Linked DNA regions of Mus musculus. The protein of the gene in region 1 interacts with the protein of each later gene in a pairwise test. Links are inferred from orthologs where the notes say so. Each region holds a gene or a part of one and is shown on either strand. Other genes may lie near its edges.

Region 1 (9,764 bases):
TGCCCGCCGCAGGGTGTTTTACAAGGTGAAGAGCCGCAGTGCTCACATGAAGAGTCACGCAGAGCAAGAGAAGAAGGCCGCAGCTCTGAGGCTGAAGGAGAAGGAGGCTGCAGCGGCCGCCGCACATCAGCAGGCGCTGAGAGAAGAGAGCGGCGAAGGGGAGAAGGGCTGAGGACCCTGCTGGATCCTATTGCCGGGCTCCCCAGCACCCCAGTCCCTGGAACCTCTAGAAGGGGCCAGGAGAGGGTCACTTGGACTTTGCTCTGCAGAACAAACCCGATAATGAAAAATAAACCGGCTCTTTTATTTACAAAGGCCAAGGACAGTGTTAAGGGCTGCAGGATCCAGTTCTCTCAGTATCTGGTTGGTCCCGAGTTCTGCTTTCCCGGAGCCTAGAGAGGCCGGGCCACTTGGAATGGGCTAGAGCTCTACAGCTGCTTCTCTGATCTCTGCTGTTGCATCTGTGCCTCTTTCATCCCAGGTCCTTAGTAAGCCACCACGGCAAGCCAAGCACAAGCTCGCCCCATGGCAGCATTGTTCCTCCTTCCGCAGAGGACCTGGAAGGCTGTGCAGACTTTTATCTAAGCCCCCAGAGGGACTCCTTAGAGAGCGGTGGCCTTAACACCTGTGTTGTCCTTGTGCTGTCATGCTCAGGCCGGAGTTGCTCCAACAATCCCGTCTGGAGGTCCCCACTTCCTTAGGCGTATCTCGGAGGGCTATTTTCAACCCCTTTGCTGCTTGTTAACAGCCCGTCTGGGGCTGTCAAAGTTTTCTCAGAAGTTTGGAGTTCGTGCCCTGCTCTCAGCCTACTACACGGAGAGGAACTGTTCAGAGGCCAGAAGATGCAGAGCTCTGCCCGAGAGATCTTTTGACAAACTCATGACTAGCATTTTATACCTTTGAGTCCCGGAGGCTGCTAAAGGAGCCTCAAGCAGGTCCTAGAGAGGCCTGGCCTGCTCTTTGGTGCCAGCTTCCTTCTTGCCTGTCGAGTTCTCAGTAGCTGCCAGCTGATCCCACCGCACCCCACTCAATGTTGATATTCACAGTCCTCCCTCCCCCCAATACGGCATGCTGGAGTTTGCTGGATTCTTCCCTGGGAGGGTGATGTCTCCTAACTAGATTAGACAGGAGCCTTCATTCTGTGGCTTGTTGTCATTTGGGAACTATTTATTTATTTTTTTTAATATTTAAGTTTTAACATCCTCAGGGACCAGGGGCCTCTTGCTTTCCAGAGGTCCAAGTGCATTTATCCCAAAATAAGGCACCTTTTTGGCATCCCCAAGCCCTCCCCCAGTTCCATGGCCCTGGGGTCCCTTACCTTGTGGCTCTTGGCCGCAGGAATGACAGAAACTGATCGGGCTGGGAAGGCGGGGAGTGTTATCAGTCACAGGAAGCCAGCAGATGTGGGTGAGGTCAAAGGCAGGTCTCTGTCCTGCCTTTTCTGTACTTTCAAATGCTCGAGGGAGTTGGCAAGAGGCCAGAATTCTAGTTTTGGTTATCAGCCTCGATTCTGGCTTGAAGAAACCATATTTGGCTTGGAATTACTGAAGGGTTGGAATGTTCTAGAGTCCCCTTCGCTTTCCAGTTCAGTAGGGGCCTAAAGCCACTTTTCTGATATCATCACTTAATTTTAGTTGTACAAAAGAGAGTCTTAAGTGACCGTGTGTCTGACTGTTTAGAATGTTAGTAAGGAGCGGAAATAGCCTACAGCCCGTTGGGAATTGGAAATAGAGATGGGGTTTTGTTTTGAAGCTGTAGACTATTGGGTATTTCTTACATTCATTTACACATTAGTATGGTTCTATGAGAGAGCTGCGGGTGGAAATAACAAACCTGTCCCCCTAGATACCTAGACAGTTACCTTAACCTTCAGTTTCCCCGGTTTGTTTCCTTCATAGGCTTCTATCAGCTCGAAGTCCCGGGATTACAAAAATGTGGTACCCTCTAGAAGCAGGAGGGCAACAAGTTTAGGATCTCTTCTAAATCACTTCTATAACGCGTGCCTTCACAGCTCAGCCCCAAAGTGCCACTTAGGTTTCCCAAGGTTCTTTTCTATTTAAACCATATCTGGCTCAGGCCCCTTGGTGGACAGGTGATAGCAGCCACATGAGATCCTTCAGCCACATGAGACTCCTCTGCTCAGTGGTACCAACTAATCCTTAGAAATCTTAATTAAAAACAGCAAAAAAGCAAGAACTTTTCTAAGTTCACAGAGACCAGATGACTATAGCCGGGGTGGGGGTGGGGGGATAAAGATGGTACCTTTAGGTAGTGATCCCACCAGACACTGTTTTAGAGGGGCCCATGCTCCAGCGCGCCCGTGTGGAAACTGAACTAGTTCAAAGCGGAGATGCACGTGCGGCCGGAGGCTGGCGCAGGCGCGTCCTTACTGGTGCTTTCTCGTACGAACACACTGGGCTTGGCTTTTGTTGTTCTTTCTATTCAGAGCTCCCTGTTTGACAATAACGTCCCTATACAGTGTCACCCTGCCTGTCCCCCAGCTTCCACCTGCATTCAGAGAAGGCCATGACACTGACCGTGCCTGTGTTCTGGGCCATCTCTGAGGTCTCTTGCCCTCACTGCTGTCCTCCAAGCCTTCAGCAGCCCCCTTAGAGCTAAAGTACCCACCCACCCACCGTCCTTGCCGCCCCACCTCCCACCCCGGCACAGAGGCCCTGTGCTCATGATGTCTAAAGGGATTGCCTATATTTAACTGCCTCAGTCACCCAACCTCTTTCTTCTCATGTGCCAGATGTTAAAGACAGAGGAGGAAGAGTGCAATAGTACTCAAGCCTCAGCTGTTGAAATGTTTTTATTGGGGCTCACTGTTCTGGGTTATTATTTATTACTAGACTGGCAAAGCCTAACCCCTTAGGTTTTTACAGGAAGTATGCATATTTTTATATAAAAACAGTTGTGTCTAACCCACATTTGGCTGTGTTTGTTGCCTCAAAAAAAAAAAAATTGCAGCTGTTAGAACTTTTCCTCATTTGTCTCTTACGTTAAAGGCCTTGCTGGAGAGGATGGAGCACAGAACAGCCTTGACAGTCTGTAATTAGTGTACAAATATTTTAATAGCATAAAGTAAGTATATTCCTTTTATTTTGAAACAAAATGGTCAGACACTGCCTTTCATGTGTTTGTTGCCTGTGGCACTCTTTTTAAAAAAGACTGTTACATATTAAAATAGTGTACATATATATATATATATAAATATAAATATTACCTCTTTGTGTACAGTTGTGATAGACCAGACTGAAAATTTTATTTTTTGTGTGCTTTTTATAAAAAAAAAATTAATACACTAAAGAGAATCTTGCTGTGATTGTAATGTACCTATGTAACTTATTTACTTTTGAATGTTCTGTATCTTAAGACCTTTTATTAAATAAGGTTTTAAAAAAAATTCATTGTTGAATACCACATTCTTATAGGGGTGTTTTTGCCGTCTGGGACTGATAGGCCTTGTTTTGCTTGAAGAGAACTTACCCGCCTTTTCGGGGCCATAAACATTCTGTTTTGCTATCTTGTATACTCAGTAAGGATAAGAAGGCAATATGTTTGCAGTTTGCCTGGCTACAAAGGTAAGTAGTCACGGGGTTTTGTGTACACACACACACACACACACACACACACACACACACACACTTTAAACAAGAAAGCCAAGTCAGACACTCACAGGAACCAGTAGATGGAATTCTCTTTCCTAGTTTTGTGGGGAGGAACCAAGTAGTTGCAGAGTGGGATCAGGTGGTTCCCGGAAGTCAGAGTTAAAGACTGAATTCATAGAATGGATGAGCAATATGAGATAAGTCCGTCGTGGTAGATGCGTATCAATAAAGCCAGCTTAAATCCACGGCAAAATTAAATAAAGCATGCGTAGCAATAGCTAAGAAAGAATCAGGGAAGGCGGGGGGGGGGGTGTAAAAAGAAATGCGCCGTCATAGAATAGACTCCTCAAACCCCTTCTTGGCACCATAGCAACCGCCAGATCCTCTGGAGCCCGCGTATCTCGCGTCGTCATGGACACAGTTGTCACGGTGACACTGGGGGAGACAAGCGGACCGGTTCCGCCCTCCACTGCAGCTGCACGCCGGCCGTTGCGGGAGCGCGCGGACATAAGCGCTAGGCAGAGCTGCCTCCAGCCGAGTTTCTCCCCCATCCCGTGCTTCCTGCCGCTTGGGTTCCCGGTGCTCGGAGTGCCGCCTCTCCCCACGTAGCCAAGCCACGGCCTCGCGTGACCCTCAGCCCGCCGGCGTGCCGGGGAGAGGTGGGAGGAGCTGCCACGCCCCGCGACCGCACCCAGCCATCTCCCGCCCGGAGTCATCAGTCTTGAGCCCACCTTGCTCCCTCTCTTTAAGCGGTGACGCCAGACACAGCTGCAGCCAGTTCAGCCCTCCCTGCCCGGACCAAAGGGGGCGACATTCGAGTGATAGGCGGAGTGTCCCGTGGCTCCCGACCCTGACTTGGGACCCGGAAGGGACAAGAAGGAACTCTGGTGTCTTTTGGTAATTGTGGTTGCCTGAAGCTTGTCGCCCCCTGGCCTACCGGGGGAGGAGAGCATGTTGTATTGTCCTAGGCCCTATAGCCTCGTGAGCCAGTCCAAGCAGTGTCTGTAGAACTGGCACTTTTAATAGTTGGGTGAAATGGCTATGACACTATTGGAAGACTGGTGCAGGGGAATGGATGTGAACTCTCAGAGAGCTCTGTTGGTCTGGGGGATCCCTGTGAACTGTGATGAGACCGAAATTGAAGAGACCCTCCAAGCTGCGATGCCCCAGGTATCCTATCGAGTGCTGGGGAGAATGTTCTGGAGGGAAGAAAATGCTAAAGCAGCCTTGTTAGAGCTCACTGGGGCAGTGGATTACTCCCTGATACCCAGGGAGATGCCAGGCAAAGGAGGGCTCTGGAAAGTGGTGTTTAAACCCCCCACTTCCGACGCAGTTTTTTTGGAAAGGCTGCACCTCTTTCTAGCTAGGGAAGGGTGGACCGTGCAAGATGTTGCTCGTGTGCTTGGGTTTCAGAACCCTGCTCCAGCTCCAGGCCCGGAAATGCCAGCAGAGATGCTCAACTATATTTTGGATAATGTTATTCAACCTCTTGTTGAGTCCATATGGTATAAGAAGCTGACGTTATTCTCCGGGAAGGACATTCCCGGGCCTGGCGAGGAAACCTTTGATTCCTGGCTGGAGCACTCAAATGAAATCATAGAGGAATGGCAGGTGTCGGATATAGAAAAGAGACGGCGGTTGATGGAGAGTTTGAGAGGCCCCGCTGCTGACGTCATCCGCATCCTCAAGACCAACAACGCCGCCATAACGACCGCAGAATGCCTGAAGGCTCTTGAGCAGGTCTTTGGGAGTGTGGAGAGCTCTAGAGATGCACAGGTCAGATTTCTGAACACTTACCAGAACCCAGGAGAAAAGTTATCTTCGTATGTTATCCGTCTGGAGCCTCTGCTGCAAAAGGTAGTAGACAAGGGGGTCATTGATAAAGATAACGTGAACCAGGCTCGCTTGGAGCAGGTCATCGCTGGGGCTAACCACAGTGGGGCCCTCCGAAGGCAGTTGTGGCTGGCCGGGGCTGAGGAAGGGCCTGCACCCAACCTCTTCCAGTTACTGGTGCAGATTCGAGAGGAGGAAGCCAAGAAGGAGGAGGAGGAGGCCGAGGCCGCCCTCTTGCAGCTAGGCCTGGAGGGGCACTTCTGAGTCCTAGGACTGGCCAGGCTGCTTTTGATATACCTGTGACGTTTTAGTAAGCCTGCCACTCAAAGCAAGCACCCAGCCTCCTCCTGGCTTGGTTTTGTTTCCTGAGGGATGGGATGGGGAAGTCAGGCCCGCATATTCCTGTAACATTCACAGAAGTGTGTGATTGTCAGGAGCTGCAACGGTAAAGGTGGTCCTTACTGCCTAAAGTGAATGCTTGATGCCAGCCCTCCTGGCGACATCTCTGACAGCTGTGCACAAACGTGAAGCTGTGACACTTCCTGTCAAGGTGGTTGCGAAGCTGCAGGTTCTGATGCTAACCGCGCACCAGGTTCACAGACTGTACAGTACAAACTCTTGTGTTTGTTACTAACACTGTGGATGGTTTTACTGTAAATTGTTCCCAATTTGTATCGATGGAAAGAATGTGATTCTATTAGAAGATATTACTCATCTTGAAAAATGCGGATTTCTAATTCCTCACGGCTCAACGCTGGAATCAGTTTCCCTGAAAAGGATCCTCGGACTAAAAGTGGCATGTTAGAAAAAACCAGGCCTTTACCGAGCTGCACAATCAGTTCCTCACGGTGGAAGACAGAAGTCCTAGGGGGAGTGGCCGTGGCCAGTCTACACTTCCCCCACTTCAAAGACTAGTCATTTAATAATTGGTCAGCGCTAAGGGTTCTAAGTTTGAAGTTATTGAATAGATGTATACAAATAAAAATTTGAAAATTCTCATTTTTCCTGACACGTATAAAATTTTTCAGTTAATTTAGCTCCGTATATTTTTCTCCTAACAAGGACTTTTGTTCATGTAAAACAAAACAAAACAAAACAAAAATTACCCTCCTTGCTATGAATTTAAGTTGCAGTGTCACCTATACATCTTGGTTGGGTGGTTCCTTGGTTGTTTTGTCACAGTCCCACTCTGTAGCTGAGGCTGGCCTGAAATTCACTCTGTAGCCCAGGCTGACCTCAAACTTGCAGCGGTCCTGGGATTACAGGTTTGAGCCACTACCCCTAGCTATTTCTTGTAGATACTGTCTCACTGTGTAGCATGGGCTACTGCTCTTGAACCTGTGATCCTTCTGCCTACCTCTTGGGGGCTGAGATTCTAGGCAGACACTACTACATCTACCTTTCAGTGAGTTCAATTTCCACATGACTTCCTCAAGGCAAGAGATAACAACCAAAGAGAGATGTTTCTATGAAATCTGATAAAAAAAATTGAATTGGGGCTTAGGTTAGCTAGCAACCTTTCTGTTTTAAAGTCATTGTGTGACTGACAGTGTTTCGGCACAGAAACAATGATCTAGTCCACTTTGTGTGCAAAGTGTTTGTCTCCCAATAGCCATTTTATAAGTTTCAGTGACTGCAGATGCCCACCTCTGAGCTCCCGGGTCAATCTGGAAATGCCCTGAAATTTTCTTTTAGGGTCTGAGACTAGAGCTGGGGTAATAGGCACTGTCAATCTCTGAGGTTTTGCTTCATGGATGCACCAGTGTGAATGGGGCAGGGCAGAGAATGGGGCGGGGCAGGGTGGGGGTGGGGGACAGGACTCTGCCATTCTGCCATTTGTTAATTGTGACTGTTAGCTGGTGGATGCTAATATTCTTATGTGTTGGTCCAGATTTTTCTTTTTAAAATATTGTGTGTATGTATGTTGGTGTATATGTTATGGTATGAATATGGAGGTCAAAGGACAACTTGCAGGAACCCATTTTCTCCTTCTACCACGTAGGTCCCTCAACGTAAGATTTGACTTCCTACACTTTTATACAAGCTCGAATTCCGCTATCCTGAGCTAACCAACCACTCTCACTTAGATATATGTTCTTAAAAACAAGGATGGAGTCTGCATCTTTTATGTTGTCGGCATCCTTGGCTTCACATAGGAACATAGTACTTGCTTTGATTGTGGGCAAAGACATGTGGAGGACACGGGACAACTTGTAGGCATCAGCTCTGTCCTTCCACCAAGTAGTTCTGGGGGGGATCAAGCTCAGGTTGGCAGCTTACGGTGACAGCCTTTACATGCCAAGACACCTCACCAGCCCACCCTGTCCTGCCAATGCCACCTCACCTCGGTGGTTGCTAGATTGCTTTCTTCAGTAGCAATGAGTGAAGCTAAGATCACACGCATGCAGGTCGAGCACTTTACCACTGTACGGCAGGCCTGCCCCTTGTTCTGGTTTGTTGTTTTAGAAGTCTCACATTGTACAAAGGAAGCTGTCCTGCAACTTGCTATGTAGCTGAGGTTGGTTTTGAACTTATAATCTCCTGCCTCATGTTCCCCAGGGCTGGTATTATATAGGCTTGTGCCACCATGTTTAGAATACTTTCTTTATATAGCTGATTGATTGCATCCCATGAGGAAAAGTATTTTACTATTTAATTAAATGTAAGGCCCATACATTCATATGGAATACGAAACATGTGAGCATTCCCCTTTTCCAGTCTCTTTGAGTTGAGTTTCCTCTGTAGCCTAGGCTATTCTTGAACTTGCCTAGCCTCCTGCCTCAGTCTCCTGAGATGCTGACACACATCCTTTGAGCAAGAAAACTGAATTAAAAGTAACTGATTTGATTTGTTTTCTTTCTATAAGCTCAAAAAATTTTAAATTCTGATTTTTTTTTTAGAAAGGTATATTCAAAGACCAGTGAGATCATAGAAACTGCATGGCGGTTTTATTCTGTAACTAAAGTACATTTTGACTGACAGCACAGACTGTACACTGGCAAATGTATGGTGCTCCTGATCCTGTGGGGTTACCCTGTTTCTCAGGGGTCTCTCGGCTAACCTTTACTAGGGATGATCATGGGCAGGCAAGCTTGCTGACCGTGGGAATCCTCTTTCCAGTGGACACATAATGGTGGGTGAGTTAGAAAGTCAGCAAAGGACATGCTCACCAGTGCTAAGTGAGGAAGAAATTAGCAGAGACTGATTCAGCTGTGTGCTGTGCACACCTTTAATCCAAGCACTTGGGAGGCAGAGGCAGAGGCAGAGGCAGAGGCAGAGGCAGGCAGATCTCTGTGTTTGTGAACAGCCTTGTCTACAGAGTGAGTTCTACGACAACTAGGGCTACACCTGAGACCTCGCCTCAGTCAGTCAGTCAGTCAGTCAGTCAGTCAGTCAGTCAGTCAGTCAGTCAGTCAATCAATCAATCAATCAATCAATCATCAATCAATACGAGTTAAGGGTCTTTGCACCCTGGTTGCTCTCCCTTTCTCTCCTCCCTGGCCCTCTCACCACATGCATGGATTCTACTATTCAAAAGCTGAATTGCTTTAGAAATCAAATATCATGAAAGTTACTCTAATATTAACTAGAATACAGTAACCAAAGGACTTCTTTTTTTTTATAAAATAACATGATTTATTACTATTTTAAAACAAGTTTCACAAAATAACATTCAGAAACTCAATATTACTAAATAATTTAATGCACAATAAGTTTAGTCATAAAGTCATGCTACAAAAGTCCTGTGTAGAAAAGATTATTACCAAAGCATTAACAGATGTTAAAACGTTCTTCAGAATGAACATGGATCTAGAAGTCAAAGCTTTGCGAATGATGCTCCTGGCCATGAACGACAACCTGAGAGAAGCAGGTGGACTGGGTACCTTCTGCTCTCCACTGGCCATTGGCAGGAGTGGTCCCACTTGGCAACAGCGTCATAGGCAGGGTCTCCCACTGACTGGAGACATACCATGTAATGTAGACAACACTAAAAAGAAAATTTTAAATCTAGATATGGGCCAGGCGGTAGTGGTACATGTCTTTAACTCCAGCACTAGGGAGGCAGAGACAGGTGGATCTCTGTGTTTGATGCTAGCCTGGTCTACATACAGAGTAAGTCCCAAGACTGCCTGGGAAACCCTGTCTTGAACAACCAAAACCAAACTAAACCAAACCAAAGTTTCTATTCTAAATAGAAAAGCTATTTACACCCTCCCAGAGGGATGACCTCGGATACAACCCAAATCAGAAAGGCAGAAAATCCTAAGTGAGTATGAAGACGGGCGTGTGTGGACAAAGGTTGAAGTCTGAGTCCGGACT
Region 2 (9,679 bases), on another chromosome or scaffold:
TTGGCAGGGCTTCTTTCTCTCACTCCGGCCAGCCTTTGTCCCCACCTCCACCCCAACGCACAGTGTCTCCGCTGCAGTGTGGCGTGTGCAGCGGAGAGAAGCTCTCGAGGTCAGCTGCAGAGCTGCAGGCCGGCAGCAACCGCATCCTCACGATTGAAGAAGAAGAAAACAAAAACAAAAACAAAACAAAACAGGGCTTCCAAGACCTCACGACAGGCTCTGGCGGGGACACTGCAGACGATTCTTGAAGCCAAGTGTGATTCGGGAAGGGGTCCTTTTGAAAAGAAATTATCCCCCATTTCTGAAACGTTTGTGTCCCACACTCCTCCGTGGCTTTCTTTTGAGAACTGTCACTCGCCCTGATCGCAACCACCCAGACTCAGCAAGCTGCCCTAGGAGTGTGTGTGTGTGTGTGTGTGTGTGTGTGTGTGTGGTGGGGGGTTCGACAAAGAATCTTGAGGTTCAACCATTTGAGCTCTCTCCCACCACTGGGTCTCCACTACACTCAACCACCATCCTCATGGCAACAGCCGAGAAAAGGCACTAACTTCCTCCTTGCTGGGTGTTTGGAAGTGGTTAGCTGAGAGATGATGCTGCCTCCAGGAAATACTAGCCAAGCTTCTCCTTCCCTGAGTTAATGGCGGAGGTCTCCAGAGCAACTTTGTGAGAGACCCCTTGCTATAGGGAGACTCTGCTCCAAAAGATGTTGGAGGTTGTCTTTCCTCCTTCTCCACTCTCCTCGTTCTACCGGAAGAGCCCTGCTCAGTTTAAGCCCAGGTCTTGGAACTTGGGTACCCACCAGGTGTCAGCACCACCAGAGCAGGTAGCAGGATCTAAAAGGTCAAAGGAGAAAGCCTGTGACTGTGGACACTAACTTGTCTTTGTTTGAAGCCATGCTTTCAGCAAATGGACGCTTTGCTAAATGACCAGAGGAGAAGTGACACAGAATAAAACGCAGGAGAGGTTTGTTTTCTAGAGTGATATGTATATTTTTTGTTCTTTTTTTCCCCTTTTTCTTCCAAAACAAACAATTAGAGCTCTAGGCCCCTTGCCCTCCCCACTCCCACCCTCAACCCTCCCTTATAAGCAACAACTGAAAATCACTGCCAAAGAAATCACAAAACACAAGCACAATGTCACCACAGCCACCGACAAAAGCAAAAAAAAATTAATAAAATAAAATTCAAAGTTCTACTGGAATGACCTCTTTGCAGTCAGGAGAAGCGGGAACAAAAGTCCACGGGTGGAAGGGATTGAGAAGCAGGGAGAGCAGAGAGGCAGAGAGGCAGAGAGGACCCCCCTCTGCACGATGGGGAGGTGCGATGTTTGCCTCTTTCCTGTGCACACTGGACTGTTTGCCAGAAGCGTATGCATGCAGCAGCAACAGGATGGATACAGCAGTGGACTTTGCAGGAGGTGAAGTCCCCACTCTGAGTCTTCTTTTGGACCTCTGGCTGGATGCCAAGGGGCTCTCTTCTTCCTGGGTCAGGAAACTGGTGAAATGGAAAGATACCCACTAGCCCTGCTTGCTGAGGCCATTGCTCCTCCCGGCCCTGACTGCCTACTCTGGAAGGGAGCTGGGGAATTGATTCACAATAAATTTTCAGACTCTTCTGACCCAGCCTTCTCTATGGTGGGGTTGACCTAGCAGAGAGGAAAGGGACTTTTTTTTTTTTCCTACAATGGGAGACTTGTCTTGCTGGTGCAAGATGGGTTTGGTGGAAAGGAGAGTTGATTTCAAAGTTGGAGGATAGAGAGGAATCTGAGACTGTGGTCAGCAAGAAAAGTTACATTCTGTCAAATGGGGATAGGAATGTATGAATGGGGAAACAGCACTGTCAGGGCTCTACAACCCACAATTTGACCTCCTTTAGTTGGAAGGAAAGGAAAACATGCAGAATTAAACACTTCCTGCAGGGAAAATACGAGGGGACTCCACTAATGGTACCTTCATAAAACCACTCCCTGCTTTTTCTTGCCCTTTCTAGCTCACAACAGCTTGGGGACAGGAATGGCCACATCTGCCCACAGGCCTCCCCAGATATGGGGTCTAGCTGGCAATTCCATAGGATACATATTGGGATGTTGAGACTTTGGGACTGCAGTGCCTCATTGAGGGCATCTCTAGACATCTTCCTAGTGTGTGTTTGGATCAGGGCACAACCAAAATGAACCTGATCTGAGAGCTGCCCTGCTTGGTTTGATGAACAACGTCTTGATGTCCTTTCTCCACGATGATTAGCATAGACTCCAAACTCTATGTCTGTGGGCATCCACTGGGCTGTGTGCAGTTAAACTGTACCTGGGTGGCGTCTGGCTAGGTTACAGGGAGGGAACAGGCAGACTGGAAGAGAGGGGCTGGGGTTTTCCAGAAAAATTAGCAGGGATGCTAGGAGCTCGACTAGGGTCTCTTTCCTCGGAGCGAGGCTCATCACTTTTCTAGGAACCAAGTATAGCTAGCTTCTAACTTAATAAAATTTCCTCTTAACACCAGGAGAGTGGAGAGAGAGAGAGAGAGAGAGAGAGAGAGAGAGAGAGAGAGAGAGAGAGGCGCAAAGGAGAGGAGACAGGCTCCAGGTGCAGATGAGGGATTTTAAAGAGGAGATACTCTTCCCCACTCACTTGGGTACAACCCAGACAGCAGTGGCTTTTTGACCATCACATAAATAATAAGAGTGAGCTGGGGAAGGGGGGGTGGTCATCTTTACTCTTTGCCCTGCTCCTTATTCATCTTCTTCATTTTCATCCGCCGGTTCTGAAACCAGATTTTGACTTGTCTCTCACTCAGATTGAGGAGTCTGGCCACTTCATGCCTGCGGTCCCTGGTGAGGTACATATTGAACAGAAACTCCTTCTCTAGCTCCAGCGTCTGGTATTTGGTGTAGGGACAGCGCTTTTTCCGGGAAGAGCGGGCGTGCAGCCAGTTGGCAGAGGGGTTGGCTGAAAGAGAAGTAGCGATAGAATCAAAGAGAGAAAGGGAATGGAGGTCCCCAGACCAAGAAGGTGCGCTCACATCTCTACTCCCCTGGCATTGGAGAAACACACCCAGGCCTCCAAGATCTCAGAAAGCATCTCTAACTGGGCCAGGAGTGAATATGGACAGCTCCAAGGGAACAGTGCATTGGAGGAGATGCAGCCAAACCACCCAAGCATCTCCAAAGCTTTGACTGCTCTAGGAATCTCAGTCTTCCTCTATTTGTATCCAAATAGACCTGGACCCAGGTCAGAAGAGCTCAGTATAGCTGGAACCACACTACCAGCTAAAGGTGGCTGACCTGAAGGGTGCCTTGGCTCTAGGTTTCAGGGGAAAGGGGAAAGAAATGGGTAAGGAGTGGAGTTCTGTTCAGCCATAGCCAAGAGATCTCCTGGTGCTCCAGTCCAGTCCCAGTGAACCCTGCCTAGGAAGCCATTTTTCAGCCCTAGGCCTAAGCAGCAGACATGTGAGTCTGGGTAGCAGCCCTCCCCATCACACACCACAAATAAGAGTCTGCATTTACAGCCATGAACACCCTGCACACTCCGACTCACAAGCAACCCAATTGCAACCATTTATCAATTGCAGCCCGTGGACGGGGAGCCCCAGGGCTTCCAGATAACTTATGGTGGCAATAGCCTCTTCTTTTCTGCTACTCAGCTCACAGTTTGGTTAACACAAGTTCAGGGAAACTGGGAAGCAAAATTGCTACAGCTCTAAGATAGAGAAGCAGAGATGAGGTGGGGGGGGCGGGGGGCGGGGGGGACGACAGAAAGCCCTTCCCAGCATACCAATCCTTTTAACGGACCCAATGGAGAGGCAGAGAAAGGTGTAATTGAGTGGAAGAGGGGCACAAAGAGCAAATAACATATACAGTTTTTTTTTCTTTTTCTGTCCAGCATCCCTCCTTAGACCTCGGGACTCAGAAAAGTTACCTGCCTCCCAAAGCAGAGCCAATTACAAGCAAGATCCACTCCACCAGCTTAGCCCCCAAGTGAAAAGCTCTGAATATCTATGTATATTTTAAAATTCACTTCATCCTACACTAAGTAGCGTGTCCTGCCAATTTGCAGCGCTATTCCCTTAATGTGATTGTCTGGGATGGGACCCGCAGCCTTTTCCTCTTTCATTAAATATGAAAGAGGAAACAAAAAAAAAAACTGTTAATAATTGAGCCTAGCCAAATGGCTGCCTTGCAATGATGGGCAACTCAGGCCTAGTCTGGGGCCATGGGGTGAGGGGTCTGTTTGGGTGTTTTCTGGAGCTTTGGGAGGAGCTGTTTTGGGGATATGAGCTCCTTAATAACTCAGCCTGGCAAGTTGGAGGTATGAGGGGACCACAAGGGTCACAGGGGAATAGTGTCTCTCCTTGCTTTTCAGAGGGCAAGCATGCCCCCAGAGGACCCATTGGCCTCTCTGTTGGTGGGGCATCCAATAGGGCGAGCAAGGACCAAACTATTTGCCCAGAGGAGGAAGAGGTGAGGAGTTGACCTGTCAGTTTGTCCCGTATTGTTTGGGACCAAGAGCGAGCCCCAAACCAGTTTGTCTTCCCCATCCTTAAAAACAAACCCCTAAAAGTAAGCCTCCTCTACTCTCAGCCAGCAGCAGTTTCCACTTGGGGTTTTATTTTAGCAAGGGTGCTTTTAGGAGTGGGAGGTGGTAAGAAACTCTCCACCAAGGGTAGAGTTCTCCGCCCCTGCGCAGTCCTCCCCCTCCCTCCCCCGGGGTCCCTTTGGGTGTCTTCTCCTCCATTCTAGAGGGAGGCCCTGTCTTTAGCAAGTGATGCCTAGACTCTCGGAGAGGTGAACTGCCCGGCCTAAGTGATCGGAAGCCCCGCGGAGATCAGCGTGCAACCGCAGGAGGAGAAACGGCCGTCCTGTCGAGGATGCCCTAGAAGGGCGGGGGACCCCCGGAGGGAAGGCTCCCGGGGAGGGGCCGGCGCACCGGGGAGGGGGCTCCGTCACCGCATCCTGGGCTTCCCCCGCCCCTCCCGGCGCCTGCTGCCGACCCGACGCGGCTACTGCGTGAGATCTGCTAGGAACAATCCTCCGCCAAGCTGTTGCATCGCAAATAAAATCCTAATGAGCCCCCTCCCCCTTCCCCTTGGCCGGCAGGGACGGTCTGCGCGTGGCGCAGGCGGCTCTGCCGAGTGCTCTTCGGCCCCGTGCCCGCGCGGGCTCCGGGCCGCGCTGGCCATCGGCCCGGCCTCCTACAGTTCTATCGCAGGTCCCTCTCCCTTTTTCCAGCCCGAGCCTGGGGAAGAATGAAGGACTAGAGAGACTTGGTCCCTGAGTCTCAGTCCCTGCGCCACAAGGAGGAGTGGGGGGTAGCCTCAGTGTCCCCCTCCTGGACACCCAGCTTTTTGCTTTGCCAGCCCCTTCCTTCCTCTTCCCTCCACCCACTCTAGCCCTGCGGCCCCAGGCGCTCTGTCCCTTTACATTGTCCGCTTTATGGCCTCTCCCCTCCCCTCCCCCGGGCCTGGCCTGCAGCCTGGGGGGGATTTCCTCACTTTTTTTTTTTTTTATAACTTACTTTGATCCGGCCTCTCTTTGTCCTCGCTTCCTTCGCAAATTTTATTGTCCCCGTAGCCAGCTCTTTGATTAGACAGGACAGCCTCCCTGCCCGCCGAAGTTTCCAAACTGTACTCGGGCGTGCCCTGTTTGAGCAGCTCCCCCGGCGCGCCCAGCAGCGGCTCCGCCTTCACGGCCGCCTGGCCCTGCCCCGGGGCGGCCTCGGCGCGCGGCGCCGGCTCTAGCCAGGTGCGGAGGTACCTGCTTTCGGCCGCCGGCGCGCCCTGGGGCTGCAGGTAGGGGTGGTAGACAGACGGCAGGCTCCCCGAGGCGTGCGGGCTCAGCGGCGCCCAGGAGGCGCCGAACACCGGCGCTTTGGGCTGGAAGCTGCACGAGGGGAAGTCCAGGTGCTCGGCGTGGCCCGGCTGCCGCGGGTTCGCGTACTGGCCCGAAGGAAACTTGGCTGGAGGCGCGTCCTCGCTCTCGTGACTTATGATCGAGTCGACATAATAGCTGCTAAGCGTCCCAGAAATGGACATTCTCAGACATTATCCGCGCGCTCGCAGGGGGAAGGGAAGCGCTCGCGCCGCGGCGCCCAAGCAGGGAAAAGGTGGCACACGGACCCGGTGCAGAGGGCTTTCGGACGCGACCCCCCCCAGACCCCCACCCTCCCACCCCCACCCCCTGCTCAACTTCTCAGCCAACAAAGTACAGTGGAGCAGCCCGGCTCGGAGCTCCTTGCAAAATGATTGGTCAAAGTTTTGCGGACTGCCTGATAAAGCGTCAGCTCCGACATAAATCAATCGGGCGAGGGGGCTGCGCTCGCGCTGTCATCCGTCCTCACCGCATTCCATATCCAGGATGGATTGTTTTATGCTGATGCAATGTGCTATCACGTCAGGGCTCCGGCGGCCACGTAACCTCAGCCTGAGCTGCCGGGCCGCCCGGGCCCCTCCCGCTTTTACAGGAAGGGGGGTTCTCAACATGGGGCGATGGGGGCGGAGGAGAGGCGGAGGCAAGCAGCGGGCTGCCTCAGGAGGGACGCAGGCTGAGGAGCCCTCTCCCCAGGCAGATTGGGGGGGGGGGGAGGACCAGCATACAGGGAGGGAGAGCGCCCCAGCCTCAGAGCTGCGGGAGAGGCCCGACAGGGTAATTAAAGAGGAGGTAGTCTTGTCGCCCCCCCCCAACACCTCCACCTCCACCCCGCGGGCCCTCATTTCCTGTCCTCTGTCCCCTTGACAGAGATGTTTATTAAACAACAGCAGTACAGCGACCCACAGGAGATGAAGTAAAAGGATGAGAAAGAAGTTGGGGCTTTTATAGGACAGTTATCCTCTTTGGAGGGGGTTCAGGGCACAATTTGGGGAGATTTACGTGACTAGGCTCTTCCCTTGATCCTTTAGCAGCTGAGAGAGGCGAAAGGGGACTAGTGTCCAAAGAATCATTATCTGTCTTGAAATTATAGCCTGCCTAAGGCCAAAGAGACACACCAGGCCCTGGAACTAGAGTTTCGGGAGACTAACCAGTCTTGTTTAACTCCTTAAAATTTTTCTTGGGCCTTTGTGAAAGGCTGGGTCCATGGTCATTTCTTGTCCTTCATCCAGGAATCTCTGAGACCCTTAAAAATGTCCAGATGAGAGGGCTAATGTGGGAAATGATTAAAGGAGAAGGGGAAGAAGACTCCCCAAACGGCACAGTAAGGAACACCGGGTTACCTTCCTTTCCATCCAAAAAGGGAAAGAGGCCAGCTAAATTCTCAGCACTCTAGCGCTTTTCACCCGGAATTGCCGCTCTGGAAAAGGTCCAAATACTGACATAGGACGGTAGCAAGTACAGAGGAGTCCCCGGCATCAGTCCGTTTCCCCCACCCGCCGCCTTCTCGCCTACAATCCTCTCGTGGAGATTACAAATAGTGCATTTTATTAGCAGCTAATCTGCGGCCCTGCGCAGGGACTCCCCCGAGGCCACGGGCTGGTTTCCTGGCGGCTCTCCCAGCTCTTGCCTCTACAGCTTCTGCCTGGGTGCAGGCGCCTCCCCCGGTGTGGTGCTCTGGGAGGCCGGGCCCCTAGACAGGCTTGGTTTCCTCGGGTTAGGTTTAAAGACAGATTTCTTGGCTATTCTCTGAGTCTGGACCGTTATTAGGCAGACTGCTCCGGGGGCCATGACTCCCTCCTTAGCCTCCCCTTCTTTTAGAAAAAGTGGAACCGTTCTAACTTGGGGGTCAATATGTTTTTAGCCAGTACCCCTACTGCCCAGTGGAAGGCTGCGGATCACCTCCGAGAGCACACACACAGTCCCGCCCGCTTGTCTTTCTAAATGAAGCCATCTCGTGTCATTACGTGTGAAATACGAGGGCGAAGCGCCATATTTCTTCACATTATGGCGATTTCAAAATGATTTTTTAAAGATCAATGCGGGCGCCCAGCCGGCCCCTTCAATTCCACCCACGCTCTTGGAGAGCGACAGCCCAGCAGATCCGGAACCAAACAGCGTGAAGATCTATTTTTTTCCCTGTAGTATCCAAATGGGGAAACAAAAATCCGATGCAAATTCTTCTAAGTAGCGGTTGGACGCTTGGAAAAGTCAAGAGAGCTTCCCGGATCTGCCAGCAAGAAGCTGGGCCTGGAGCGAATGAATCATAGTTAGGGCAGAGCACCTGTTCCTGCTTTGCTAGTCCTATGAAATCTGCCATCAGTTTTACCTGTAATAAATATAGTCTTCAGGCCAAAAAAAAAAAAATCCCCTCCCCAGCCATAAATAACAGCGTTATGAAGCATGTCGAGGTGGGTATATGATTTTCTGTAGTATATAAATTAGGGCCCAAAAGGACATGTGAACTCTGGGCCGGGGCTCTTTTATTTATGGAAACGTGATGGAGCAAGGCTGTTTTTAAGACCCAAGCTGTATAGGCGCTGGGCTCTGCCCGCTGCCCTCCTGGTTCCCATTCCTCTCCCGGGCTTTGCTGCAGATTCTTCACTGGTTTAGTTTAGAGAAAGGATCAGAGGAAGAACCTTTGGGCTCCTGGCTTGTGCCCTGTAAGAGGGAGATAATCCGTTTAAATTCATATTTGTGGGTTATAGCTGCCCAGGGAGCCGTTCTTAATCCCTCCTGGAATCACTGATGGGTGAAGAGGAGACCCAGGCCTCTTTTCTAAGTAAGAAGTAGTTTTTCTAAGTAAGAAGATGCTGGGGATTGCGGGGGGGGGGGGCACACAAAGTGGAAGAGACAGATTTGGGAAGCTTGTCTTCTCTGGAGAGGTGATTACAGAAGAGAATGAACTTTCCCCCTCATCCCTGGGGTGTATACCCCATCTCACCCCCTCCAGGGGAAGACAGCAGCAGCAGCAGCAGCAGCAGCAGCAAGGAGTCTCACCCTTGCTGCAAGCTTTCCAGAAGGGATTGCTGCCTCAAACTTGAGCTCAGCTTCAACAGAGGCAAAGGACAAAATGGTCACCAGGGTGGGTGGCCCCTTGCTGAAATGCTTGGTGATCCCTGGAACCCCTCAAATCTTTTTCCCTTCCTAGGCAATGGTACCCACCATGCCAGAACACACAGAATTGTGGCCCCTAGGACCTACAGATACTTAACAAAAGTCACATTACAGTGGGGTCACTCTGTCCAGAGAGCAAAGCTCTCTGCAAGCCACCTCCAGTCCTAGAGAGAAAGGAAACCCCACATCCCCTAAAGCCCCTTGTCATGTCTTACACTGGAGCTTTGGCTGAACACAGCTGGGGCTAGTGGCATGTAGCATGAAAACAAACAAACAAACAAACAAAAACAGGAAGGCAAAACCTCTGGACCACACTGGGGCCCAGGGCAGCCAAGAAGAGAGGCTGCTGCTGACCACAACCAGCCGGGGTAAGTGCCTGCATTTTGGGAGAGTCTTTGGTGGGAGGTGGGGTGAGGGTGTCTCTGTCAGTAAGAAGAGAAAATCTAGAGATTGAAATGGGAGTACAAGGGGGGGGGAAGAAAACTGTGAGAAAAGAGAAAATAGTTTGTTTTTAGGTGATAAGCTACAGCTGATATTGATGCCTTCTGGGTTTAAGCAGATGTATTTGACTTGCGTGTCTGTTTCAAACTAATATTTCTGTAAGGGAGTCTAGAGGTCAAATATGCTCTATTATATACCTTTATAGGATATACAATTATCTTTCCAACTGTAATACTAAATGTGTCGGGGCATAGGCATTTAAGATC
Region 3 (9,658 bases), on another chromosome or scaffold:
AGCTTCAAGCTAGTTTCAAAGGAGGCGGATGGCGTTCCTGAGAATGACAGCAAAGGCCTGGTCCTTTAGCCTCCACACAAAAGCATGCTCTGCACATACACTCATGCCTAAAATAAAAGAGGCAGCAGAAGGGACAGGAGAGTTGAAGCAGAGTCCTGGGATGGGAGGCCAGGGGTAAAGGAAGAAATACACATCAAAGGGAATAGAAAGATAATCGAGTCCTAGGACAACAACAACAACAAAAAACCCTCATCAAGTCTGGCCTCACGGATCCTTCCCTTACCTGGTCAGAACGACTGGACAGGACAGGGCGGCTGGCTGCGCTGCTTGGGGCCACTTTATTCTGCTGTGTCTCTGCCCCGAACTGCAAAGCGTCCAAAGCAACAAACCTTCAGCTTTGATGCTCACAGCCAACCCTCCTGCCCCTCTTCTTTCCCAGCTACTGACCAATCCAACACTGCTGAGGTCAAAGAGGCTGAAGGGCTTGCTGACCACAGCTTCAGTTTGGATGAAGTTCCTCAGCATTTCTGTGGATGTAGTCTGCACATAGCCATAATCCTAATGGACAGAAAGAGTTGAAATGGTGTGGCCGCAACCTCCCAACCACACACTCCATGAGGACATTTCTTCATGGTAGCACGGAATAAGAGAATGAAATTGAAGTCCTTGGAGCTGGGGAGCTGGTTCAGTGGGTAAAAGGCTTGCTGAGCAAGTGTGTGGACCTGAGCTCAGTCCCTGAAATGTAAGTAAATAAGAAGGTGGACATGATAATGAGCATCTATAATCCCAGTGCTCCCATTCAGAGACGAGAAATAGAGACAGGAGAATCCCAGGAAGCTTGCAGGCTCGTTAGCTTAGTGTACGTGCACTGGGGAACAAAGGGAGCTTGCCTTTCACTTCTCTTTTTTTTTCTTTGTTATTTTTATTTTTATTTTCAAGACAGGATTTCTCTGTGTAGCCCTGGCTGTCCTAACTCATTCTGTAGATCAGGCTGGCCTTGAACTCAAGAGATTCATTCACCTGCCTCAGCATCCTGGGTGCACCACTATGGCTGGCTTCTATTTTTATTTTGAGACAAGGTCTCATGTAACCCTGGCTGGCCTCCAACTCACTATGTCGACTGGGAATGCCTCAAAAATCAAACTGATCCATCTGCCTCTGGATGCTGGTATATTAAAGGCACGCACCACCATGACCAGCAAAGGACTCTGTCTTGAACAAGGTAGAAGGTCAGGACCAATACCCGATATTGTCCAACAGGAAAGAGAAGGACACACAGGTGGAGAAACGGAGCCAGGGAGACAGACAGACATCCTGTGAGATAGCTCTGCTGGTGCTTGCTATCAAGCAAGCCAACCTTAGTTCAATCCCAGGGACCTAGACAGTATGTTGGTTGGGAACACGCAAAAGAAACTTATTTTAAATAAAATCATTTCATTTTTAGACTCCATTTAATCATAAGGAGAAGCTAAATTCAAGATCCCAGGCTCTGGGGGAGCTGAGGACTTCCCAATAGCTGAACGGCTTCTGTTGTAAATAGTTGCCTGAGTCCAGACATCTTTTTTTTTTTTTCCCCAAGACAAGGGTTTCTCCGTGTAGCCCTGGCTGTCCTGGAACTCACTTTGTAGACCAGGCTGGCCTCAAACTCAGAAATCCACCTGCCTCTGCCTCCCGAGTGCTGGGATTAAAAGCGTGTGCCACCACTGCCCAGCTGAGTCCAGACATCTTAGGAACAACTTGTACAGTTGTCTGAGTCCCGCCATCTTAGGGACAGCTGGTAAGAGAACAGCTGTTTGAGTTCAGACACCTCAAGGACAACTTCTCCATCTTGCTGGCAAGATCAACTAAGCTCGTGTTCTCAAGCCCAGAAAACTACTCCTAATCTGATTGGTCAAAGTTCCCTTGCTCAACCCCTTATGTCAAAATATGATTGGACAGTGCTACAGCTCACCCCACTCCCCTCCACTTTGTGGTGTCAGCCTTTAACTGCTAGGCAAGTTCAGGAGTCTGTTCTACAGCCCTGACTGATCAGTACTGGCTTGATTACAATACCTTTTTGTCATCTGCATTGACCTAGTGCTTGAGTTATGGTGGATCTATATTGGATTTAGCAGATTCTACAACAAGTAGAAGATACCTGATCTCCACACATGTGCAGTGATGTGGGCAAATACACACACACACACACACACACACGTGAATAAATAAACTTAAAAAGACCAAAGTTTTTGGGCTTTACCAGCACTTCATCCAGGAGTTCGTAGACAAGCGCCACATTGCGTGAGATGGTTCCCTCATTGAGTGAGCCACAGTAGTCACCCAAGAGAGTGGCTAGCCTAAGGAAACACAGCAAATTATGTGTGAATAAACCTCACACGCCCTCCTTCTTAAGTGCCTGTCCCAACTCTACTCACCGGGAAAGCAGCTCCAGAAGGCTGAAAGGAGAGACGTTTTCTAAGGTTGTGGCCACCAAATAGAGCCCACTGTGTCTGATGTGAATAAAATGACGATCACCGTGATACTGAGGCAGAGTTGAGGACAGAGGCCATTAAGAAAAGACCAGAATTGTAGTAAGGAAACCTGCAAGATGGCACCCTGAGGTCTACTAGTGATGGGCGATGCCCCAGATCTAAGACCTGGCCGCCTAACGTGGAAAGGTAGTATCTACCTCTCAAAGTTGTTGATAGTCAAAAAATAGGGTGCATGGCTCTGTAACTGGCTTCTTGTTAGTACTCAAAACATTTATAAACAAATCCTCCCCACACACACACCCCCGCCCCCAAGCTTCCTACCAAGCTGCCCTTGACAGGGAGGAGGCACTCACCCACCTCCACAGTTCTAAGGCCCTGCACACCAACCACAGTAGTTACCATGACAACCGGGGACTCGCCTCCAGGCAGTCCCGTCAGCTTCCGGTAGAAGAGCTCTGCCACATCACGACCACCACTGTCCCCGCGGACTAGCCAGGTGGAAAGATAGTTAAGGAACAGGCGACACAGACTGATCTGGATTCGATTTCTACCCAGCTACCCTACCCCGTCTCCCGGGTCAAAGGATACAGTCTTTATAGATGAGCGGATCCCCCTTGGAAGACAGAATGAAGAACTGGGAAATCATGGCGGTTCTGGAGGATAGACGAGAACACGGTGAAAGTTGAACCCACCCCGCCTTGTGGACGCGGAACAAAAGGCCGCACGGAGGCTGGCGCTTTAAGAAACACTCCTCCCACACACACACTCGCGAGCATTAATTTCGAACCGCGGGAAACAGGGTGTCCAACCCGCCAGGATCTGGCAATCTTTCAACGGCCCGCCCTCAAGCCCCTTGTCATTCAATCTAGACTCGTCCATTGATTGGTTAAAGTTAGGGGCTGGCAGCAGTTGGGAACCCCCTATCTGATTGGCGGGTTCTCAGCCGCACGGGTCACATGGGTGACGACGTTTCGCGCCAATTTCGGTTGGCCGGCTACGTCCCGCCGCGCGTTCGTTTTCTGCTTCCCCAGAGAGAGATTTTTGAGCCCTTCAAGTCCTGCCACACCGTCCCCGGCAGCGATGGCGCTTAAGGACTACGCGATCGAAAAAGGTGAAGATCTATAGGGCTGGGGGCGGCGTCCTCGGAGGGAAACTTCTACCTGCACCTGTTGAGGGGTGCTGGAGTCTTGGGGTCGGGCGGGGGAGGGGGAGTGAGCCGGGATCTGTGACTCCGAGGACAGGCGAACTGCGCCTGCAATAAGCAGTGGGCGTCAAGGATGGAGGAAGCAATCCTCCTTGGAAAAGGTGATGTGTTTGTGTTATGGAGAGAACCCAGTGGAGTCCACAAAGGAGGGGCGCGCTCGGTAGAGACCGGGTGACTTGGTTCAATGCATTCAATACGTGACCCAAGGGACTAGGTTACTGGGCCAGCCTCTGCTGCTCGGGGCGCTAGCGAATTCCCGCGTCCACTGGAGACTGGCCGAAGTCCAGAGGCGGGGCTTGCCAGACCGCTACGCGCCGCGATTGGTTGTTTTCGGCCGCCCTCCAAGCGGAAGTAGAGGCGGGCGGAAGTGGCGCTACCCGATCTTGGGACTGTCGTGTGTAAACAGTGTCCTTCCGCGCGGTGGCCTCGGAGATAGCTGCAGTAGGTAGGGGCGTGCCTAGAATTGGGAGGCTAAGCGCCCGGTGGCGAAAGGTGGCAGTGTGGTGGACCCGAATGGCCCTTTGGCGTTCTGGCCAATCCCCGCTCGGCCACCCGTCTCGGGCGGAGGAATCCTGGGCTGTGAGGCGGCTGGAATCTGGGCCCATGTGCTTCTTTGTTTACTAAGAGCGGAAGCAGTGGCGGGAGCCGGGCATGAGTGCAGAGGAGGCCTAGTGGCGGACGTCCTGGCGGGAGCCTAAGAAAAAGAGTTGTACTGGTAGAGCGAGAGCCGAGGACCTTAAGTCGATTGGGAGCGAGCTGAGAGAATTGAAGAAACTGAGATTCCTAATTAAGACAGAGTGTGGAATTCTCTTGGGAAGGTTGGGTAAGACTCTTGTAGCTGCCCGAAGACCTATATTCTTCTCTGTGTAAAAACGGACTTGTGAAAAGGAACACTGCCTACTTTGGGGAGAACTTGGTCGATTTGTTTTCAATGTTCATTTAACTAACTAGTTCATAGGTTTCGTCTTAAGTGAAAGTGGGTTTCTTAGGTTTCTGTTAAGAGTTTGAAATAAAGAATCTAAAAGGAAAGTTGATTGTTTATTTTATTTATTTTTACATTATTTTGTTACATTATTGTGTGTGTGAGATCGCACGGGCATATCATAGTGCTGGACACCCGCAGGACTCTGTTCTCTTCCAACCTGTGGGTGGGCCCTAGGGATTGAACTCTAGTCCTTGGCAGCAGTGGTCTTTACACCTCACTGCAAAGACTTGGTTTTTATTTTATATTTGTAGAAAAAGTTAAGAAGTTCCTCCAAGAGTTTTATTACGAGAATGAGCTTGGAAAGAAGCAGTTCAAGTATGGGACCCAGTTGGTAAGTCTCAGGATTGGTTCTGGGGAGTGGCGTGGCGTGTTAAGAACTTGTATAAGGTTATCTCAAGTCTGGCTATCAGTGAATGACTTGATTCTGATTGTTTTTATACAAAGTTGGGTTTTTGTTTTGTTTTTAGCTTAAGGGTTTTCTTAGATGTTTTAGTCGTGTTTATTCCTATGTGTTTGTGCTCACAGGGGCATGCCATAGCATGTGTAGAGGTCAAAAGGACAATTTGTGGAAGTCTGTTCTCCCACCATGTGTGTTCTAGAGAGCAAATTCAGATCATCTGGCTAGATGGCTATGTCTAACCTGCTGAGCCACCTCATCCATTCCTAGCTCTTAGTTTTTAGGGGTAGTCTTTGTGTGGCTCAGACCACCATCAAGAACACGCTGTGTAGCTACATAGCTGAGGTTGGCTTTGAGCTCCTCACTCTGTTGCCTTCTGAATCCTAAGTGCTGGGATTATAGACATCTACCACCATGATGTACTGCATTCTGTTCTTTCCCCAGTGGTAGGATAGTGACTTTAGAAGAGCTTTTGTGGGTGAGGTGAACTTGACCCTAAAGTGTTAGCATCTCTTCTTTACCTCAGGTTCATCTGGCTCATCGGGAACAAGTGGCACTGTATGTGGACCTGGATGACATAGCTGAAGATGACCCTGAGTTGGTCGACTCAATTTGCGAGAATGCCAAGCGCTACTCAAGACTGTTTGGTGATGTTGTGCAAGAGCTTTTGCCTGAGTACAAGGAGAAGGAGGTAGGTGGCTGGTTTGTTTCTGAGCTCGTCTGCCTCGTGCCCTGTTTTCTTTCTCTGTCCTGCCTCTCGCCTTTTCTTTCTTTTAGGTGGTGAATAAGGATGTCTTAGATGTTTACATTGAACACCGGCTGATGATGGAGCAGCGAAGCAGAGACCCTGGGGCAGTCCGGAACCCCCAAAACCAGTATCCTTCTGAACTCATGCGAAGATTGTGAGTATCTCTGTGGGAAAGGGCGGGGACTTGCTCTCCGGGGACTTGCTGACAAATGTTTCTCTTTTAGTGAGTTGTATTTCCGAGGCCCAAGTAGCAGCAAGCCTCGAGTGATCCGGGAAGTACGAGCTGACTCTGTGGGGAAATTGTTAACTGTGCGTGGCATTGTCACTCGTGTGTCTGAAGTCAAGCCCAGGATGGTGGTGGCCACATACACTTGTGATCAGTGTGGGGCAGAGACCTACCAGCCAGTACGTATACAATTCTATGATGGTGATTTGATACCTCGGGTCGTTTTGACTGATAATATTTCAAGGAGGTCTTAATCCTTATTTTAAAAGACACAGAGCAGAGATGGTTACTGTGGTGATTGTAAGACTTCCTGTTTTCCTTGTTTGTAGATCCAGTCTCCCACTTTCATGCCTCTGATCATGTGCCCCAGCCAGGAGTGCCAGACCAATCGCTCAGGGGGGCGGCTGTACCTACAGACTCGTGGCTCCAAATTTGTTAAATTCCAGGAAATGAAGATTCAAGAGCATGTGAGTTTAGGGGATATGAGTCCTGCAGCTGGTTATGAAATTATAGGAAGAAAGATTGGGAGAGAGGTTTACCTAGAATTTTTTTATATTTGCTCTTAGTCAGAAAATCGGGAGGTGATTTAATTGAAGTTTTTTTCTGGTTCTATTGGGAGGAGGATAAGAAGAACTCAGCTTCCTTCCTGAAGTCATCTAGGTTGGGATGACTGAATCTTACCATCAAATGGGCATCTTCTGGGGTGGTGGTCAGTTGGGTCAGGTCTGCCTCGCTTTTCTCCTTGTCTCATGTGCTCTGTGTCATGCCCTCCCCCACACCTCCCAATCTCCTAGAGTGACCAAGTTCCTGTGGGAAACATCCCTCGTAGCATCACAGTGGTTCTAGAAGGTGAGAACACAAGAATTGCCCAGCCTGGTGACCATGTCAGCGTCACTGGCATCTTCTTGCCAGTCCTGCGCACAGGGTTCCAACAGATGGCACAGGTGAGGGCGTTTTGAATGAGGAAATAGCTGCCTTGCCTCCTCATCCACCCACTCACTCTTCACACCCTTAGAAAATGAAAATCAGTGAGGTGGAACTTGTGGATAAAAAATTCTCAGGGACTCTGGTGATGGGGACTTTAAAGGGAACTCTTGTGTCCAGGGCTTACTCTCAGAAACTTACCTGGAAGCCCACTGGATTGTGAAGATGACAAAGAGTGACGATGATGTCTCTGGGGCCGGAGAGCTGAGCTCAGAGGAGCTGAAGCAGATTGCAGGTGAGGGACCACGAGCTCAAGTTGAGAGTTGAGCTCCATCCTAGATTTTGTCCTGAAGGAAATGCTATGGCTTAATTTTTTGCAGAGGAGGATTTCTATGAGAAGCTGGCCGCTTCTATTGCTCCGGAGATCTATGGACATGAAGATGTGAAGAAGGCGCTGCTGCTGCTTCTGGTGGGTGGTGTGGACCAGTCTCCTCAAGGCATGAAGATCAGAGGTAAGAAGGACAAGAGACTTAGGAGGGAGGGTAAAAAAACATCCCACGAGAGTCTGTAAATGACAAGAGTTGATGATTTACCTTAGTGGTTGTTGTGTCTTAGAAGTAGTCTGGACTTTAAGAAGGGACCAGGTCTCAAGTGCTCTTCTCTGTTGGTGGACAACTTGGGTAAAGAGTATCACTCAGGCTTCCTTCTCATTTGCCAGGAAACATCCACATCTGCCTTATGGGAGACCCTGGTGTGGCCAAATCTCAGCTCCTATCTTACATCGACCGTCTGGCACCGCGAAGTGAGTGTGAACAGGGATGAGGCTTGGTGTTTGGTTGATAAACACTAAGGCCTCTGGAAGGCCTGGGGAAAGCGGTTCCTTTCTTCAGCAGTTTGCTCTTTATCTTTGCAGGTCAGTACACAACAGGCCGTGGCTCCTCTGGTGTAGGGCTCACAGCAGCTGTGTTGAGAGACTCTGTGAGTGGAGAACTGACTTTAGAGGGCGGTGCCCTGGTGCTGGCTGACCAGGGCGTGTGCTGCATTGATGAGTTTGACAAGATGGCCGAGGCTGACCGCACAGCCATCCATGAGGTTATGGAGCAGCAGACCATCTCCATCGCCAAGGCGGGGATTCTCACCACGCTCAATGCCCGATGCTCCATCCTGGCTGCGGCCAATCCTGCCTACGGCCGATATAATCCCCGCCGCAGTCTGGAGCAGAACGTCCAGCTTCCGGCTGCTCTGCTTTCTCGATTCGACCTCCTCTGGCTGATTCAAGACCGGCCCGACAGAGACAATGACCTCCGGTGAATGAAGTAGATGACACCCATAGAGACAGCCCATTTTAGTGACTTTGGGGCAGGGAGGTAAAATCAGAAAGCCACTCAACTTGTCTGTGTGCAGACACCTTAAACACCTTTCCTTGTTTGCAGTTCATATGGAGATAGGTTGGAGCTAAGATCTTGAGGGTTTTCTGGGAGGCCTGTCTGCCATGCTTTGGAGAAGAGGTGGTGCTAAAAGGGGATACTGAGTCAAGATTCTCAGGGTGTTAGAGCTCTAAAGACTGACGCCCGTCTTCTCTCCAGGTTGGCCCAGCACATCACCTATGTCCACCAGCACAGCCGGCAGCCCCCTGCCCAATTTGAACCTTTGGACATGAAACTTATGAGGTAGGAGGGGTGGAGATGGGTATGTCTGGGGAGAGTACTGGTCTGTGGCATTGTCTTATGCCAAGTGTGTCTGGAAAGCATTGAGTCTTGAAAGGACTCATCTGCTTATCTATTTCAGCCTCAAAAGTAGCTGAGCCTGGGTCTCTCTGTAGCCAAGGGATCATCAGAAACTTTTTTTCTGTTTTGGGATGACAGAGCAGCAGGCCTTATATAATCCTAGCTACTCTGAAACCTGAGTCATTTTGGGGATGTCTCCAAAAACTACTTCCCTCCTGTATATAAAGGAACCTCTCTCACTCTCTAAATCCTGTCCGAGGCAGGTCTAGCTTTTTGGCCATAAGTGCTTCCATGGCACAGATGACTCGGGTTTCTAAACTGGTTTTCACATGGTCTCTGAAGTCTGTCAAGGGGTTAAGTTAAATCCTCCCACTACAGGTGCTTTGGTAAATGTCATTCTCCTGAAAAGTTGGAAGTTACTTGAAGTGTCCTGGCAGCCCTGTTTTGGAGAAATCCCTCACTGTCCACGTCAGCATAGAATATTAAGTGGGGAATCTCATAAAGCCTGCCTGCTTTCCCGCTTTCCCATGAACCTTGTTTCCCACAGACGGTACATAGCCATGTGCCACGAGAGACAGCCCACAGTGCCTGAATCTCTGGCTGACTACATCACCGCAGCATATGTGGAGATGAGGCGAGAGGCCCGGGCCAGTAAGGATGCCACCTATACTTCTGCCCGGACCCTGCTGGCCATTCTCCGACTTTCCACTGCTCTGGTGAGTGGTGGGTCCCTGTCAGCTGGAAAGCTGACCCCTGCCTGCCACCTCACCTAATGACCCTCAAGCCGCCTCCTTCCCTCCTACCAGCCCTGCTGGGACTAAAGTGCTGACAGTGCAGATAGTGGTCCTCTCTGTGCTACCGCACTGTGGGTACTTGCTGCTCCAGCAGGGCACGTGCAACGCCCATGGAGGGAAAGGCTGCTTGCTGCTTGAATCCATGAGGGCTAGGACTTGAATTCCTGGTGTCCTAGATATGA

The links.
Region 2: the proteins of Pnma1 (region 1) and Hoxb9 interact in binary tests that used the Homo sapiens proteins (3 or more experiments, as listed by UniProt). The two-hybrid records come from large-scale screens. The link is inferred for Mus musculus from reciprocal best matches to the Homo sapiens genes PNMA1 and HOXB9.
Region 3: the proteins of Pnma1 (region 1) and Mcm7 interact in binary tests that used the Homo sapiens proteins (3 or more experiments, as listed by UniProt). The two-hybrid records come from large-scale screens. The link is inferred for Mus musculus from reciprocal best matches to the Homo sapiens genes PNMA1 and MCM7.

Annotation. Positions count from the first base shown.
Region 1 is NC_000078.6:84,142,810-84,152,573, reverse strand, and holds Pnma1 (paraneoplastic antigen Ma1 homolog), read left to right. Parts: upstream 1-4,084; 5' UTR 4,085-4,646; coding exon 4,647-5,708; 3' UTR 5,709-6,443; downstream 6,444-9,764. Other genes in the region: Mideas (ELM2 and SANT domain-containing protein 1), read left to right, coding at 13-172.
Region 2 is NC_000077.6:96,267,885-96,277,563, reverse strand, and holds Hoxb9 (homeobox protein Hox-B9), read right to left. Parts: upstream 6,235-9,679; 5' UTR 6,023-6,234; coding exon 5,506-6,022; intron 2,941-5,505; coding exon 2,705-2,940; 3' UTR 969-2,704; downstream 1-968. UniProt on the Homo sapiens protein: Sequence-specific transcription factor which is part of a developmental regulatory system that provides cells with specific positional identities on the anterior-posterior axis.
Region 3 is NC_000071.6:138,165,650-138,175,307, reverse strand, and holds the start of Mcm7 (DNA replication licensing factor MCM7), read left to right. Parts: upstream 1-3,424; 5' UTR 3,425-3,551; coding exon 3,552-3,582; intron 3,583-4,041; exon of another isoform or gene 4,042-4,498; intron 4,499-4,911; coding exon 4,912-4,991; intron 4,992-5,583; coding exon 5,584-5,748; intron 5,749-5,834; coding exon 5,835-5,959; intron 5,960-6,029; coding exon 6,030-6,210; intron 6,211-6,360; coding exon 6,361-6,498; intron 6,499-6,825; coding exon 6,826-6,975; intron 6,976-7,135; coding exon 7,136-7,250; intron 7,251-7,335; coding exon 7,336-7,467; intron 7,468-7,673; coding exon 7,674-7,757; intron 7,758-7,868; coding exon 7,869-8,262; exon of another isoform or gene 8,263-8,322; intron 8,323-8,541; coding exon 8,542-8,625; intron 8,626-9,229; coding exon 9,230-9,398; intron 9,399-9,489; exon of another isoform or gene 9,490-9,571; intron 9,572-9,658. Other genes in the region: Ap4m1 (AP-4 complex subunit mu-1), read right to left, coding at 284-364, 448-558, 2,240-2,336, 2,415-2,521, 2,829-2,959, 3,060-3,117. UniProt on the Homo sapiens protein: Acts as a component of the MCM2-7 complex (MCM complex) which is the replicative helicase essential for 'once per cell cycle' DNA replication initiation and elongation in eukaryotic cells.